Canis lupus familiaris: one gene and its partners. The protein of the gene in region 2 purifies or fractionates together with the protein of the main gene of each other region. This does not show direct contact. Links are inferred from orthologs where the notes say so. Each region holds a gene or a part of one and is shown on either strand. Other genes may lie near its edges.

Region 1 (6,386 bases), on a different chromosome or scaffold from region 2:
GTAAATTATTCTTTAACATAACGAGAGGCAACAACCTAGGGAATGAGTTTTCCCAGTAGGTGGAGAGGAAGAAAATCCTTCAGCTGGTAGGGCCACGAGAGAACAAAGTTAAGAGAAGGCCCATATATTTGTGTTTTTTTATTTTTATTTATTTATTTTTTAAAGATTTTATTTATTTATTCATAGACACAGAAAGAGAGGCAGAGACACAGGGAGAAGCAGGCTCCATGCAGGGAGCCCGATGTGGGACTCGATCCCAGGTCTCCAGGATCACACCCCAGGCTGCAGGCGGGGCCAAACCGCTGCGCCACTGGGGCTGCCCTGTATGTTTTTTTAAAGATTGATTTATTTGAGGGGAGAGAGCACAAGTGGGAGGGGCAGAGGGAGGAGGAGAGAGAGTCCCAAGCCGACTCTGTGCTGAGCACAGAGCTGAGTGCAGAGCCTGACAAAAGGCTCGATCCCACAACCCTGACCTGAGCGGAAACCAAGACTCGGATGCTGAACCAACTAGTGCCACCCAGGTGCCCTGAAGGCCCTTATGTTTTGAAGAGGTGTCCTCTTACCTCCCAGTGGGCTGGGCCTGTAACAGATCCAAAAGCTGAAGGGTAGGTGAGTATTTCTGCTCCAGCCTGAGCCAATGCCAGAGAGAGTTCAGGAAACCGCATATCATAGCAGATAGCTAGACCAATCTGGAATGAAAACAGCCTAATAGCCCTGTCCTGTTGTTCACAGCATTCAGTCATACCCACTGCCTACGTTTCCTTAGGACTTTCTTTCCATCCTCTACTATCACTTCAAAGTATTTCTCTTCTCCCTCCTGTTCCTCTTCCCCACCTCATCCTTTCACAACTCCCACCTTGCCTGCTGGTGTGCTGACAGGAGACTCAAGACTGGGCCCAGGAATGGTAGAGTTGCTCTCACGCATAGGCCCCTGCCCAGGAATCTCCACGTCACACAGATGGGTCTTCCTGTAAGTGGCCACTACTGACCCTGTAGTAAGAGGGAGAAGGAATGCTCAGTGCTGGTGCGCTAGGAGCCCAACTTAGTTCCTCTCCTCCCACCAAGACTATTTATAACCTAGGCTCAGAAGTACAAATACCCCTAAAACTCAACCAAGGAAACCAAGTTGAGAATTCTGGAGAATGCAAGTTTAGGTAGAAGAGCCTGGGAAGATGTGGCTAAAGAGCTATCAGGTCTCACCCTCGTTGTTTAGAAGCACATGGCAATTGTAGATTTTCTGAGTCTGCTCCCAGTCTTGGCCTCGCTCATGGAAACCACCCAAGGACAGCCAGAGTCCACATTCCCTGGAGGAAGGCAGGGTAGAAGGGGCAACACTGACAATGCTTCTCAATGTTTGACCCTCCTATCTGGCAATTCGGGGACACTGCCCAACAAGGAAGCTACCTTTCCCTCCCCCTTTCCCTGATACCTGGCAAGCTGGGTATATTCTCCCAAAAGGTTCCCACCCAGTGGCTCAGACAGGCGTAGTGTCTCTGCAGGGTCCCTTGCAATGAAGTCAAATGCCTCAGGCAGGAAAGCCAGGCAAGCACCCAGTCTGGCAGCCTCTCGAACAAGCTCGGCGCATGTTTTAAAGTTCTCCTGCTTGTCTGGTGTTGATGTTACCTGGCACACAGCCACCAGCGGCAGTTCCCAGGAAGAAGAGGAGATAGCCATGGCTCTGGGACTGTGAATGGCACGGGCAGGGCTCAGACTTCCAGAATGGGGAAATGCAAATTTAACAATCAGAGTCTTAAGTGGGGGAGCAGGAGGGCTGCGCTGCCCTTTGGTTTCTGCTTTTCAGGGCTCCCCACTGATGAAATGTTCTGTGATGGTTGGCACCCCAGTGTATCCCACCATCTATGCACATCACAGACATTTACTGAACATCTATTAAGTGTCAGGCGCCAAGGACAGAGCAAAACATGTTACCTGGGCTGTGCACAAAGTACTGAGAGTCGAGGTATCCGGAGTCCAGGACACAAGAGAAGGGGCAGGAGCTGGTGAGGAGGCCTGATGATGAAGCCCAGCCTGAGGAAGGTGAGAAATCAGGACACCACTCCCGCGCTCAAGCAGCACATTTCCAGGATTCTCTGACTCCTCTCTTCATACTGGGAGGCTGAAGCAGGGCCCTCGCAGAGAAACACCCCCCCTCCCCACCAAGTCTTACTGGGAGTAATTATGGGCTACAGGAAGACTCATAAAGTGGGAAGACAGAGGAAGGGGCTTTGCTCGGCACCTGTCTCGGCTCCAGTGGGCTCGTATTAGATTGAAGCCCCCCCACCCCCACCCCGCCCCCGCCCCCACCTGCCCGCCCGGGGGAACATACCCGCGGTTCAAAAGGCATCCCCAAGAAACCTCCCTGCTCTCCCCAGCCTCTCCCCTTCACTGGGCACCTGCACGGCGGCACTGCTCAGCGGATGCCCCCTTACCCCGATCTCCGAGGGGAAGCTCACCGTCCCTCGCCCCTCCCACCCCGTGGGGGGCAAAGGGCACCGGCACCCACACACATCCCAGCCCGCGCCCCCACGCTCCGGTCAACCCGGCCTCTCCGCCTCTCCCAGGCGCAGCGGCTCCCTTGCACGGGTTAAAGCCCCGCAGCGGAGTGCACCGCTGGGTCCTACATGAGGATAGAGCCGAAACCGTCGGCAGCGTCCGACCGGAGGAGCGGCCTGGAAGCGGCGGCCCCGGGGCCAGGGGGCGGCAACCTCCAGGCCGGATGTGACGCACGGGGGCGGGGCCGCGCAGGCCGGAAGCGCAGCGGGCGGCGAAGATGGCGGAGAGCAGCGGTCGCGCCGGCAAGAGCAGCGGCGGCGGCGCGGGGAAAGGGGCGGTGTCGGCAGAGCAGGTGAGGAGCGGAGGGCGCGAAGGAGGGCAGCCGGGCCGGGCCCGAGTCGGTGCGAGGAGCGGGCGGCGCCGCTGGCTGGGGCAGGCCCCGCGCGCGTCCCGGCGTGGCGGGGCCGCCCCGAGAGGGGAGGGTCCTCGGAGAAGCTGGCCGGGTCCGGGGGAGAGCGCGGGAGGGTTGGTCGGTGAAGGCCACGCCCCCCCCGGGGTGCAGGGTGAGCCGGCCCGGGGCCCGAGCCCGGCGGGAGGGGAGGGGAGGGGAGGGAGGGGAGAGGAGGGAAGGGAGGAGAGGGAGGGGGAGGGGCGGGGGGCGGGCGTGGCTCTGCCTACCTCCCCGCACCCTCCCGCAGGATAGGCCGGGCCCGGCGGCTCGGCACGAATCCCCGGGGATGAGCCGGCGGGCTGGCCGTGTGGCCTGTTCGGTGACCCCGGCACCACGCTGACCGTCGCCCTCACTCTGCAGAGCCACGTGACTCGCATGCCCCAGCAGTCCGCCGTCCCATACTATTTTGACCCGCACGTCGTTATTAGATTGGATTTCCTGAGCGACCAGAAACCGTGTTGTAACCCGAGTTTGCATCTCCCCCAGTGTCTCAGCAGCGGGAGACGTGTGATAAACAACCCGGAGAGCCTTTTGTGGCGCGCGGGGAGCCCTGGTTTGCTAATGGCGGGGCTAGTGTGTAGTCTGGGTGGCAAGAAATCCCCGCGACAGAAGGGAAAACCTAAGACAACAGCTCTTCTCGCTGCAGGCTCGCTCGCTTGTCAGTTATTTGTCGAATAGTCACCGCAGGCAAAGGTGTCTCCATAAAGATTTTTCAAGTTGGCCCACGCCATCAAAGAGCTCACAGTGAAATAAGACCTACTAAGTGCTAACATAAGGCCGAAGATGAGTGTCCTAACAGGTATAAAGTGCTGTGGGATTTTTAAAAAATATTTTATTTATTTATTCATACAGACACAGGCAGAGGGAGAAGCAGGCTCCATGCAGGGAGCCCAACGCAGGACTCCATCCCGGGTCTCCAGGATCAGGCCCTGGGCTGAAGGCAGGGGCTAAACAGCTGAGCCCCCCCGGGCTGCCCAGTGCTGCAGGACTTTGGGGGGGGGGAACGATAGTTTCTGCCCCCCGACCCGTGTGTTGTGGTGGGAGGAAAAGGAGAAGGAACCTAATACTTTCTGAGGGGTGGCTAAGAGCATAAGAAGTGCCCTAGGGTTGGCGGATCTGTTTTAGAATCACGGTTCTGCTATTTATTATGTGTAGATGACCTCCCATGAGTTCCCTCTCTCACCTTGTAAAAATTTGGCAGTTCATACTTCATCACTGTTTTGATTATTATTAGACAAGAAATGCATGCAAAGTGTTTTGCACAGTAATGAGTATAGTGTTTGTTTTTCTGGGAGAGATAATCCTTCAGTTCTAAAGGATGAGAGAAGTTAGTCAAGCAAAGAAAGAAGCGGAGGGACCCCTGGATGGCTCAGCGGTTTGGCATTTGCCTCCAGCCCAGGGTGTGATCCTGGAGACCCGGGATTGAGTCCCACGTCGGGCTCCCTGCATGGAGCCTGCTTCTCCCTCTGCCTGTGTCTCTGCCTCTCTCTGTCTCTCTCGTGAATAAATAAATAAAATCTTAAAAAAAAAAAAAAAAAAGAAGGAAGTGGAGAATTTCCTAGGCAGAGACTAATGTCCTTAAAAGCAGTGAGGCATGAACCTTTCTGGCCTGTTGGGGATGCAGGTGGGCTTAAAGTATGGGGTGGACTGCAAGACTTCAATGTGAAGAAAACGGGATAGAGAGGAAACTAGAATGTTTCTCAGATTTATGTCTTTGATGGATGCTTGTTCATAGGCAATGTAGGAAGATAGGAAATGCCTAGGGGGGTGGGGAATATGTTTCTCTTGGGGTTTTGAGTTTGGATTTCTTGTAGGACATTCAAGTAGAGGTATTTAATAGTTGGTTTGATTTATAAATTTTGAATTACATTTGAGTCAGAGAACTATAAGCTTATGGAAGGCTGATAAAGTCATGGTAATGGGGGTAGCCCCGGTGGCGCAGCAGTTTGGCGCTGCCTGCAGCCTGGGGTGTGATCCTGGAGACCCGGGATCGAGTCCCACATCGGGCTCCCTGCATGGAGCCTGCTTCTCCCTCTGCCTGTGTCTCTGCCTCTCTCTCTCTATGTCTATGAATAAATAAATAAAATCTTAAAAAAAAAAAAAAAAGTCATGGTAATGGGCAAAATCATCTAGGGTTTGTGCAGAAAGTTGAAAAAAGAAGCAGCAGAACAAGGATGGAACCAATATTTAAGGGGTTATGGAGAAAGAGAAGAAGCCCTCCAAAGAAAGCGAGCAGTTGTGATAATTGAGTTCTGAGGCTGTTCTTGCTTAACATTCTATGGCCTTTGTGTTTCAGAGAGAACACTGGATAAAAAATGTAAGATTTATTGGGGCACCTGGCTGGCTCAGTACATAGAGCATGTGATTTTTGATCTTTGGGTTGTGAGTTCAAGCCTCATGTTGGGCCTAGAGCTTACTTAAAATGTTTTTTAAATTTTTTTATTTACTTATTCATGAGAGACACAGAGAGAGAGAGAGAGAGAGAGAGGCAGAGACACAGGCAGAGGGAGAAGCAGGCTCCATGCAGGGAGACTGATGTGGGACTCAATCCCAGGACCCTGGGATGACACCCTGGGCAGAAGGGAGGCACTCAACTGCTGAGCCACCCAGGTGTCCCCTAAATTTTTAAAAAATACATGTGATTTATCATATCTGCAAATGTGAGCTATATATGTCCCTTATAAACAAGATGGAAGGAAGCAACACATTGTACTAGGCACTTGTTTTATTTTCTGTTATTTAATTACTGCTCTTTGGAGTAGATTATATTGTCCTCCCTTTATAGGTAAGGATATTTGAGTTTCAGAGACTTCAGTTAGCTTATCCAAGGTTAGTAACTGGAAGAGCAGGGCTTTTAATTGAGTGAGTGATTTGAGAATCAGACATATTTTTCCATTTATACCACGATCATATTAGGGATATTTGAGATGAGCCTGAAGGATTGGATAGATTTGAACAGGTGGTAATGCAAATAGAATATAGGGAATAGGATAAGAAGAGAGCTAGGGAAAGCACAGTCTGACAGGAAGTGCAGTGACTGGTCAGTTTAGCTAAATCATGAAGTATAAGAAAGATGTGGTGCTTAAAAGCAAGTTGAGTCTTTGCATGGCAAAGAATTTGGAACTTTTTAATGTAAGCAGTGAGGAAGCCACAGAAAAATATATGGCATGCTCTTGTTATTTTTCTGTTACATAAAATAAGACATGTTCATTGTGGAAATGTAGAAAACACAGGAAAAAGTACAAAATAACAAATAAATTACTCGTGATCCTAGTATCCAAAGATAACTATTATTGCCGCTTTATTTTTGTTGTTAAGGATTTTATTCATGAGACACACACACAGAGAGGCAGAGACACAGGCAGAGGGAGAAGCAGGCTCCCTATAAGGAGCCTGATGTGGGACTTGATCCCAGGTTTTGGGGAGTCACGCCCTGAGCCAA
Region 2 (5,632 bases):
TAACATGGTATTGGAGAAAGAACTTTGGCTTCTTAATAGACCAGGGTTTGAATCCTGCCTCTACTTCCCGATCGCTGCTTGGTCTTGGGCATGTTGTTTTACCACTTTGAGCCTCTGTTATTTTCATGGAAAAAGGATGACAGTATTTAAAGAATTGCTACGAGAAGCAATATGTGCTTTCAGTATAACAAGTAGATACTTGATATATATTAATTCCTGTGATGATAGGAGGTCATATACTTTACTGGTTAAAAGTCAGACCTCATTGGGACGCCCGGGTGGCTCAGTGGTTGAGTCTCTGCCTTTGGCTCAGGGCGTGACCGCAGGGTCCTGGGATCGAATCTGGTGTGGCTCTCCCTGCACGGAGCCTGCTTCTCCCTCTGCCTGTGTCTCTGCCTCTCTCTCTGTGTCTCTCATGAGTAAATAAGTAAAATATTATAAAAAATTCTAGTAATTCTAGTTATTTTACAGTAGAGTCTATATGAGTATTGAATTTTACCTAAAATGAGACAGAATATAGCTCTTTTCCGCTGTTAACAGCCTATTGTTCTTTAGCTTATTGAATTTATTAGAAAATGCAAGAAAATGTTAAATATTAGTCATGAAAGCGAGCATTCCTCTCTACTCTGTGATTTACCTGAAATCTTAATATTTTGTTATTCAGAATGTTTGCTGTTTGTTTGTTTTTGCCTTTGTTACTTCTATTCGAATTAGCCATAAAACTTTTTAAACAGATGTATTTATTTTAGAGAGAGAGAGAGAGAGAGTGTGTGTGTGTGTGTGTGTGTGTGTGTGAGCCGGAGGGGCAGAGAGAGTGAGAGAGACAACCGTGGGGACCCCCTGTGGAGCGGGGAGCCTGACTTGGGGCTCTATCCCATGACCTGAGATGACCCGAACAGAAATCCAGAGTTAGCTACTTAACTGACTGAGCCACCCAGGCGCCCTGCCGTAAAACTTTTTATTACAGATTACTTCAGCATCTTTTATGATCTAAATTTTATTCTTTTAATATGTTGATTGACAGATGGATGATTTAATATGATGATTGACAGATTTCTTGCAGTTGAATAGTGCCCTTACACCCTTGTAGTACGATCTAATGTTCCTATGATTTGATTATTGCTGCATTCTATGTGCTGATATTTCTTGAAGCACTGTGTGCATGCCTTCCTACCACCCGCCATGGTAGACCAGTCCTCTGTGCCTTTACTATGTGAGATTGATCTGTGGCTTTATTTTTTACTATGATTGGATTTCGGTATTAAAATTGTAGTGATTGGGGCACGTGGGGGGCTCAGTGGTGGAGCATCTGCCTCTGGCCAAGGGCGTGATCCCGGGGTCCTGGGATCGAGTCCCACATCGGGCTCCCCGCAGGGAGCCTGCTGCTCCCTCTGCCTGTGTCTCTGCCTCTCTCTCAGTATCTCTCATGAATAAAAAAAAGATATTTAAAAATAAATAAATACAATTTTAGTGGTTTTTTCAAATGAATAGGTGAATGCTCCATCTTTTTCTTTTATAGCTCAAATAACATTAGAATCACTTATTGTTTAAAAGTTAGATATAAGATTCATTTATCAGTCCATTTGCTTCAAGTGACATTTGCAATATTTTTAATCATGTCTTCAGGCTCTTTTATGAAAATGAGTCAAATCAAGCTTCAACTATTTTGAAGTCAGCTTTAATAATTTTATATCTGTGCAGGTTATCACTTTATTTTTATTTTTTCAATTCCATTGCCACATGATAAGTAGTTATGTGCACTTTCTTTTTCTTAAATTCCTATATCTTTGTTATTGATCTTTTATCCACAAACAGGTTTGCAAAGGATTTATTTTAGTGGTGGTGATAGTCTTTTCAAAGAATGAGCTTCTGGGTTTCTTTCTTTTTCTCAATTATTCTTTTTTAAGATTTATTTATTTATTTGAAAAAGAGCACGAGTAGGAGGGGCAGAAGGAGAGGGAGAGAGAGTCTGCCTTGGACTCTGCTGAGAATGGAGCCCGATGCAGGACTTGATCTCATGACCTGAGCCAAAACCAAGAGTCAGATGCACAACCACCTGTGCCACCCAGGCCTCCCCCTAGTTATGGTTTTTTTTTTAAGATTTAATTTTTTTATTCATGAGAGACAAAGAGAAAGAGAGGCAGAGACACAGGCAGAGGGAGAAGCAGGCTCCACGCTGAGCCACCCAGGTGTCCGCCTCGTTATGTTTTAATGTTTTTTAGATTTTATGTTTATCGGCCCACCTGGGTGGTGAGAAACTGGAGGCAAAGAGACAGGTTCAATAACTTCTCCAGAGTGAACACATCTAGTATGTGGTGAAGCCAGGGTTCAAACCAGGCAGGCCCTGTTTCGTGGCCACAATCCTGTGCTGCTATAGGTAATTCTCCTGGCTAGACTCTAACCTCCTAGCAACATTTACCCTGGGCTAGAAACTTTGACTTACATCTCTTTCCTGCAGTGACCCTTCTAGGAAGATGATATCTTGATTTTACATGCAGACTTCAGCCACTGCGCCCAGCCTCACCTTTTGTTTCTTTTACTGTGTCTCTAGCTTGACGGCTTCATAGTTCACACTCCTTCACTGTTGTTTCTCCTTGCTTCTTGTCTTGTTTAGGCTAAAATAGTCCCTTATAGCTGGTAAATATGGATAAGAATAATGATACAGAGATCTCAGAAACTGTGGGTACTTGAATTTAACTTAAAATGAAGGAATAAAGTTCTTTAAAATGCTGGAAAGGTCCAATGGGATTCCCTTAAAGTTTCCATATATTTTCATCTAGTTCCTGATCCTTATCTGATTAGCTTTTCTTCAAGGACCAGCATGTAGTATACATTTTTAAAAATGCTACTCAGTTTAACTACTTTTTTTTTGCCTAATTATTCTTTTTACAAAAGATTGTTTTGTTTGCTTTTTAGGTTTACTTTATTTCCAATAGTTGATACTTGAGGTATTTGTGGCTTGCCTTGGGAACCTAATACCATATTCAGCCTGATTTCTATGGCAGAACTTGAGTTCAAAATTTTAGTTGATGATTTTGGCATACATCTGTTGAGTCGTTTTGTGGCTAGGCTACATGACTAGGCAATGTGTTTGATTGTTGGTAATTTTCATATTTACTACCGGGGCAACCTGGGGGGTGTATAAAGCAAGTAAAGTCATCTTTCTTTCCATATATATATTTTTATATAAAAAGAGAAAGGTGGAGGAAGAATAAATTAGCTACATAATGTATGTGCGTTGTTTGAAATGATCTTGAAGTTTTTATAACTACATTATAGTTAAAAACAAGCCTTTGGAAACAAACACAAGGTTTTTTTTTTCTTTAATGTTTTAAAGATAAAGGTGAAACAGTCAAAAATCACATTAGAGGTATGAATTTGAAAATTTGGGAGCACCTGGGCAGCTTAGTCAGTTAAGCATCTGACTCTTGATTTTGGCTCAGGTCATGGTCTTGGGGTTGTGAAATTGAGCCTTGTGTTGGGCCCCATGCTCAGTGTAGACTGCTTGAGATTCTCTGTCTCCCTCTCCCTACACTTGCACGTTCTCTCTCTTTCTCTAAAAAAAAAAAATCTTTTTTTTAAAAAAGTCTAACTTGCATGTGTTATTTTTTGATCTTAAAGGAAGATGTAGATTCCTTCATGAAACAGCCTGGGAATGAGACTGCAGATACAGTGCTGAAGAAGCTGGATGAACAGTACCAGAAGTACAAGTTTATGGAACTCAACCTTGCTCAAAAGAAAAGGAGGTAAGTGTAAAAATTTATGAGTTGTTTTTTGTTGTTAATCTTGTATGGCTTAAGCTTTAAAAATCAAGACATATTTTACATTTAATAAAATGTCCAATTTGATGAATTTTTAGATATATTCACTTCTATAACCATTGTCCCGATTAATATGTAGAACACTCCTATTACTGTAGGAAGTTCCCTACTGCCCCTTTTTGGCCAACACTGCCCACTCCCAGAGACAACCACTGTTCTGATTATCTTTACTATAGATTTATCTGTTCTTGAGTTTCATGTAAGTGAAAGCACATAGTAACTACTGTTTTATATCAGGCTTCTTACACTTAGTATGATGCTTTTGAGAGTCCTCCATGGTTTTGTGTATATCAATCAGTAAATTAGTTTCTTTTTAGTGCTGAACCTTGCTCCATTGTATGTGTATGTCCACAATTTTAATCTATTTTTATCTGTTTGCCTGTCAGTGGACATTTGGGTTGTTTCCCCATTTGGTTTGAAGTCTTTGTGTGGGTATGTGTTTTCATTTCTCCTGGGTAATTACCTCGAGGTAGAATTGCTGACTTGTATGGCAAGTATAACGTTCAGTGTTATGAGGAACTACCAAAAGTCCTCCAAGGTGGCTGTACCATATTTCATTCCCACCAGCAGTGTATGGAGTTCCATTTGTTCCATTGGTCCGCATGCTTGCCAATGCTTGGTATTATTAGTCTAAAGATGGTTTTGAAAATGTAATAGAATGAATATCGAAGACCTTATTCCAAAACATGTAGGGTCATAACATCTTAGATTTCTAGTTTATCCTTATTTTGCCACTAAGATCAGAGACCCATAGAGGTTCTGGCTCTCCCTAGATTTCACAAATAATAGGCATAGGACAAATGGATCCTTGTTCTCAGTTGTTTATTTCTCTGTATTTTTATAGTAGCTTACAAAGTCAGTTCACTACAATAAATACTTGTGAATATCTGCTATGCACATTTCCCAGCATTCTTCTGTCAGTTAAATATTTCTGGAATTCTAATTAGGTGCCAGATACTGTTTTGGGTGAAATAAAGTTCAGTGTCTGCTCTCAAGAGGGACGCCCGTCTAGGCATGCTAGATATGTCAATAAGATAAGCACATAAAGTATAGCAGTTGAGATACTTTAGTACAAAGTAATGAGTTAGCACAGGGAAAGGTGTGATCTTGAGGGTGAGAGTGACGTTCGGGGGAAGCTTCTGGGCTGTGTAGAATTTTGAAGGCTGGTTATGAGTTCGGAGGCAGACTAAAGCAAGGAAGGAGCATCTGGGCATAATGTGCCATTCATGTAAAAGTACAAATGTTTGTATTTAGATATGTTTTCTCATTTGATTTGGTAACAGGGAAATTTGACTAAGGCCTGGGTACTAGATGAAAAGTCATTGACATAGAGTGTTAAACAGAAAAGAGCATGATAGAAAAGACTATGAATGATATGTTTTCATTTTGGAAAAAGTATATCTGTACAAAAATATCTGGAAGAAGGTATACTGATGGTGTATCAACAGTGGTAATCTTTGGGTGGTGGGAATATGGTATTTTTAAAAATCTGGTTATCTGTATTATTAGGTTTCTACAATATTTACCTACTACTTTTATAAGAAAAGCTTTTTTTTAAAGATTTTATTTATTTATTCATGAGAGACCCAGAGAGAGAGAGAGTCAGATAGGCAGAGGGAGAAGCAGGCTCCATGCAGGAAGCCTGATGTGGGACTCGATCTCGGGTCTCCAGGATCACACCCTGGGCTGAAGGCGGCACTAAACTGCTGAGCCACCCGGGCTGTCCAGAAAAGCTTATTTTCATTTTAAAAAGAATAAAGTCAAGTTTTCAGATCACCCACAGGAAGATTATAGATAGAGAAAAATATGTG
Region 3 (5,398 bases), on a different chromosome or scaffold from region 2:
TGCAAAGTACAAACAAGGAAGCAAAGCAGGTCAGGATGGTCAAAGAGTCAAAGCTCAGCTAGAGACCAACCATTGCTGTGTCCGAGATGGATGACAGCATTGTAAGGGTTCTTAGTCATGACGTCCAGCCGCCCAGCCCGAGCATTCAGAGCTGCCACGATCTTTCCCACTGACACATCCAGGTAGGTCAGAAACCCTGTCTCTGACTGAGAGAGAGAGAAAGAATGAGTCCTGATTGCCCTCCATCCTTCTACTGAGATCCCAGAGAAGAAACAGTTTTCTCAAGGGCTGCCACCCAGTCTCTTCACTCCAGAGGCACTCACAGCCGTGGCCAGAAGGAAATGGAAAGGCAAGAACTCCAGCCGTGTGACTCGGTCACAGCGGCGGATACAGTGGAGCTCGATGCCCTGGTTGTCATAGATGTGAAGCCAGCGATTCTGAGCGACAGCAAACAGTGCCTCTGAATGCAAAAACCTGGAAGGAGGAGAAGAGTGGTTAAGAGGGAAAGAGGGTCAAGGGACTGTCATTCAGTCAGGAAGGAGATGCCCCACCCCCACTGACCGGATGTCCCGCACTGCCTCCATGACGTTGATCTCACACATGAGCCTCTTTGTTACCCAGTCAAGGGTGGCCACATGACCCCGGTGCCCTCCAAAAGCCAGGTGTCTGTTGGAGGTGGGGGACAGGCAGCATGTCAACACAGGGAAGCACCCTGACTCAGACCATGAGGTCTTCCCCCCCACCGGCCCCGCCTCTCCGGATAAGGAGATGCTTTACATGCTCACCCTCATATGCAAACAAATCACAGAACCATCCCCACTTCATCAGCCTAAACATATACCATATGGCTGAGGTGAGTGTGGCTGAAATGGTTAAGGAGATGAACCACATCCTAGTTCAAGAGTCACTGATATCCAATCTTACCTCCCAACTGGGGAGTAATTCAGTCTGTAGGGTCCAAACTGCCTCAAGTTTAAATCAAAATGCTGAGAGAGGGAAAAATGAAAAAAAAAAAAAAAATCAAGGAAGAATGGGCTCCTCTTGGTAATTTCCACCTCTAGTTCCCACTTCTATCTGTGCCACCAGTGGCCCCTTTTCCAACCTCAGACTCACCTTGGCTGCACTTGCAATATCCACAGCCTCCACAATCTCAGCCTGGCGTATCTTTGCTGTGTCCTCCCCATCCTCCCCTTCCAGAAACCTAAGGGTGAGCACTAGGGTTGCAGTAAAACTTACAAATACACGGTGGGTGTACCAACGTAAAAATGAGAACGAGAAGCCCCATCAAGCAGGGCCTGGGGAGGTCCACATTAGGATCCACTTACCCAGGTTCCTCAGCAAGAAGCAGTTCAGAACGAGCAGCTTTAATACTTATTTCCTCTTCCTCAGCTTCAGCCACCTCTAGTCGGCTTCGTGTTTTCGACTTCGAATGTGGCAGCTATACCAGCGTTGGCAGGAGAGTAATGAAAAAAGAACCAGGTGTTATGTGGGGTGCCAGGAGAGTCACACAGTTCCTCTTCATCCAACTCACTCATATGCTCTCCCAAGCTGCAATCCCTCCTCACTCCCAGCTGGTCCTCACCTTTTTGGATTTGTCAATGCGACGGAACTTGCGAGCCACTTCCTCAGGGATGGGAGCAGGGCCTGGAAATGGATCCTGGGCCTGGGGAAGGAGGAAGCAATTAGCAGACAGGTTAGGGTTGACCCCAACCATCGCACCTGCAAAGTACAAGGCAACTTGCCCCACCACCTTATCAGGTCCCAGGCTCACCCCGGACAAATTTCTCTGAGGCTCAAGATTTCTCTGTTCTCGAGGTTTCTTCGGGAACTGAGGCTTCCCGGGGATCCGAGACTTTTTTGGGAGGTTAATGTTCTTTGGCCTCTGGGGGCGGAGCTCTCGATTCCTTTTCTTGTTACGAGGGGGCCCTGGAGAGGCTCCGGCAGCGGTCAGAGTGGCTTCCTTCTCCCAGTACCTCCGCGGTTTCTACGGGCAGATCACAAGCTCTAACACTCCATAGCCCTCGCCCCCCCACCCCCGGGACCCCGCAGCTAAAAATTTCCCTTCCACCCTAGCGAGGTCTCTACCTTCTTCTTGGTCTGAAGTCTGGCCTTCTTGGGCTGGACATCTCTGCCGGGTTTGGAGGCTGTTTCCATCTAGCCCACCGGAACGACGACCCACGTGCAAACTTCTCTCAGCTGTCCACAGACGGCTCGGAAACTCCCGGAAGCCCGCCGGCCCTCGTCCAATCAGTGCCTACCAGGTCTGAAGCCGTCTGAGCGCCATCTTGAATGAGGGCCCACTCTCTCTCGAGGGGCGGGGCAGGTCTTGGCTCCGCAATCCCGAGCAGCCGCTTATGCCCGAGTAATGAAAGAAAGGTAGTCTGGGGCTGGGGACAAAGTAACGGTGCAGTTTTTTTTTCCAGCTCCGTTTCCCTGTCTTGCCTAAAACCTCCCGGGTCCAGTTTTCTGGGGGAACACCGTTCACTAAACGTGCCAAAACTACAGTTCCCGGCATGCGTCAGAAGACAGCTTCCGGCGCCTTCTTTTCCCAGCATTCTTTGTTTACTTCCAGGTTTAGTAATAGTGAAGCGAGAACGTGAGTATGGCTGGGTTACGGTTGAGGGGCTTGGGGTCTTGCTGCGCCCGCCACCTCCTGGGGCCTGCGTGGAGGGCTCTCTGGGACGAGGAGAGGCTGTGGTGCCCTGGGAGGCTGCCTCGCAAGAGTGCTGTCCTTTCCGCAGGCCGGGCCAGAAAGGGGAGTTTAGGTACCTCCCAGAGTGAGACCCAGCGCCCGCTCCCACTCCCCGCGGGCCTTCGTCCCCGCCATGGCTGAGCTAATCCAGAAGAAGCTACAGGGAGAAGTGGAGAAATATCAGCAGCTACAGAAGGGTAAGGGAGCAGCGTCGGCGCGGCCTCGCCCCAGACCCTTCACTTACAGCCCAAAGCCAAACCAAGATAATATGTTGTGCCCCACTAGAGGCCCCGCGTGCAGCTCCTTCCCCATCTCGGAGCTCGTCCCCACCCACTGACCTGTTGCCGCCTCCTTGTCTACTTCCTCAGCTCCGTTTTCTTCTCACCAGGATTGGGGTTAGGCGGCACATGTGATGTGTTTAATCAACCCTTTCTTCCTAACCCCCAGACTTGAGTAAATCCATGTCGGGGAGACAGAAGCTTGAGGCGCAGCTAACAGAAAATAATATCGTGAAGGAGGTGAGAGAGGGATATGCCGGGCCAGAAGGGACCTGACCTGGAAGTGATTCTGATCTTGTATGTCCCATCCCTCCATCAGGAGCTGGCCCTGCTAGATGGATCCAACGTGGTCTTTAAACTTCTGGGTCCTGTGCTGGTCAAACAGGAGCTGGGAGAGGCTCGTGCCACAGTGGGGAAGAGGCTGGACTATATCACAGCTGAAATGTGAGTCTTTGTTCTGACACCCTGCAAGGCACCGGACGCCCCCAGCGTAGAATGTCGAGGAGCCGTTGGAGTAGTTCCAGGGTAGCCCTGTCTGATCTGCTTCCTCAAACCCTCCACGGGGAGTCCAGGAGAGTCCAACCCTTCAGCACCCTCAAGAGTAAATCCCATCAATTTCTCATTTGCTTGTCTCTCTTGCCTCTCTTCAGTAAGCGATACGAATCCCAGCTCCGGGACCTTGAGCGGCAGTCAGAGCAACAGAGGGAGACCCTGGCTCAGCTGCAGCAGGAGTTCCAGAGGGCCCAGGCAGCCAAGGCAGGGGCTTCTGGGAAGGCCTGACCCCATGGGGGGGGGAGGGAATGAGGCAGCTCAAGGGTCTATGCTGTAGCTAATAAAATGTGAAAACCCCTGGCTGTTTTCTGACCAGCCACTTCCTGTCATGATGGTCTCTTCCTTGGGCCCCTTCAACTTTATATATATGCCACCTGCATTACTCTGTTCGGTCCCAATTCTCGTGACTGGAATTGCCACAGAGTAATCCTCCTTTTTTCACTGAGACTAAAATCTGAAACGTCTCACACCTACTTGCCTATATACACTACGCTTGCCTTGGTTGGCATGCCCCTTAGGAAACATGAGAAGAGCATTTACCACGCAATGATCATTGGGAAGGCCAGTTTAACTACAGAGCTCACGGTAATCTAAACTGAGACCCCAGGGTGAAATGTGGTGACCCTCTTGCTATGCTTTCTTGTCATCCTCCAGAAAGCCCCAGCATCTTAGTCTCATTCTAGAATTTGTTTGAATGAAGTTTAGGCTGATTTAAAATCCCAGCATGGAACACTTTGTGATGTTGTAAGGCCCTCAAGTTTATACGTTATCCACAAAGTCATTCTTCCATTTCTTTGTCCTAAAATTGTTTCTTACAAATGTCCAACCACGGATTGTTCTTTAATCTGCTCACTTTAATTGGTGACTGGTACTTGCTATGGGTCTGTGACAACTGAGAAGAAAAATAGCAAATAGAGGGAGCCAGCAGAGAGGTTACTGGGGAGAAGGAAACTGTTGTGAGGAAACTGTTTTCGCCAACGCTTCATTTTCAGCAATGGGGACAGAAAACATTGGGCCCCTTGTTCTTTGGTGTCTACCTTTGGCCATCTCCCCACCGCCACTCCCAGAAGCTAAACCATACACAATTCAAGGACAGGGGAGTAGAATGTAGGTAGTGTTTTGATTTATTATCTTAGTGTTGTCACAGTGACAGGAACACCCAGAGTAGGAAAATAAACTCCTACTAGATCCTACTTCTTGCCATCCCCTCTCCCCAGGGCTCAGAGCCTCTAGGCTTTTCCTCTCCCTCCTCCTTGTAGGCCTCTCCTTGGCCTTAGAATGCTAGGATGTGGCCAGGAACCGGGAACTGATCCCTTTTTCCAGTACTGGCCATGTGCTGCATTCATGGAAAGTAGGGAGCTATACACAGGTATCCCAACTTGGTTACCAAGATAACCAGTTCTCACAAAGCTGAATCTCTCAGCCTTCTGGTTAAACCAGTAGCACTTCACTGCCCCAGGGTGGTTGGCCACCTTTCTGGATTTCTTCCCGGTGCAACATGACTGCCACCACTCAGGATGGCAACCCACATTGGTGTGGCCACCATGAGTTCTATTGAGCTCGCAGGGTTTCTTCCTCAAAACAGTGCCCGGGCAATCTTCCTCCCTGTGGCCTTGATCCTGGGAAAAGAACCCCCTCCTCCCTCACTTGGGGGAGTTCCTGAGGCTGAGGGGCTGCTGGTGAGACCCAGTGTAGCAGTAGAGGGCCTTCGCCGCTGCCGTAGGAGGAAATCGTGTGATGCTCCATCCATAGCATAGAAAACATTAGCCGAGGGTGGGATGGTCAGCTCTGTGTGTTCAGAGAAGGAACATCAAGAGCGACATGATCATTGCCCCCACAACCAGTTGGCTATGGAAGCACCACTCTCCTCCCAAGT

Evidence for each region.
Region 1: the proteins of VBP1 (region 2) and PFDN2 fractionate together in Homo sapiens (co-fractionation; 8 studies listed by BioGRID and IntAct, counting the BioPlex papers as one, with this or other methods). This does not show direct contact. The link is inferred for Canis lupus familiaris from reciprocal best matches to the Homo sapiens genes VBP1 and PFDN2.
Region 3: the proteins of VBP1 (region 2) and PFDN6 purify together in Homo sapiens (affinity purification with mass spectrometry; 6 studies listed by BioGRID and IntAct, counting the BioPlex papers as one, with this or other methods). This does not show direct contact. The link is inferred for Canis lupus familiaris from reciprocal best matches to the Homo sapiens genes VBP1 and PFDN6.

The regions. Positions count from the first base shown.
Region 1 is NC_049259.1:22,181,857-22,188,242, forward strand, and holds the start of PFDN2 (prefoldin subunit 2), read left to right. Parts: upstream 1-2,703; 5' UTR 2,704-2,770; coding exon 2,771-2,845; intron 2,846-6,386. Other genes in the region: NIT1 (deaminated glutathione amidase), read right to left, coding at 564-689, 857-990, 1,201-1,304, 1,430-1,684, 1,930-2,028, 2,622-2,623. UniProt on the Homo sapiens protein: Binds specifically to cytosolic chaperonin (c-CPN) and transfers target proteins to it. Binds to nascent polypeptide chain and promotes folding in an environment in which there are many competing pathways for nonnative proteins.
Region 2 is NC_049260.1:124,324,871-124,330,502, forward strand, and holds part of VBP1 (prefoldin subunit 3), read left to right. Parts: intron 1-3,621; coding exon 3,622-3,746; intron 3,747-5,632. UniProt on the Homo sapiens protein: Binds specifically to cytosolic chaperonin (c-CPN) and transfers target proteins to it. Binds to nascent polypeptide chain and promotes folding in an environment in which there are many competing pathways for nonnative proteins.
Region 3 is NC_049233.1:2,881,849-2,887,246, forward strand, and holds PFDN6 (prefoldin subunit 6), read left to right. Parts: upstream 1-2,554; 5' UTR 2,555-2,596; intron 2,597-2,741; 5' UTR 2,742-2,825; coding exon 2,826-2,889; intron 2,890-3,139; coding exon 3,140-3,210; intron 3,211-3,289; coding exon 3,290-3,414; intron 3,415-3,620; coding exon 3,621-3,750; 3' UTR 3,751-3,851; downstream 3,852-5,398. Other genes in the region: WDR46 (WD repeat-containing protein 46), read right to left, coding at 71-206, 324-474, 562-666, 925-986, 1,114-1,201, 1,326-1,438, 1,583-1,663, 1,772-1,984 and 1 more; RGL2 (ral guanine nucleotide dissociation stimulator-like 2), read right to left, coding at 5,099-5,310. UniProt on the Homo sapiens protein: Binds specifically to cytosolic chaperonin (c-CPN) and transfers target proteins to it. Binds to nascent polypeptide chain and promotes folding in an environment in which there are many competing pathways for nonnative proteins.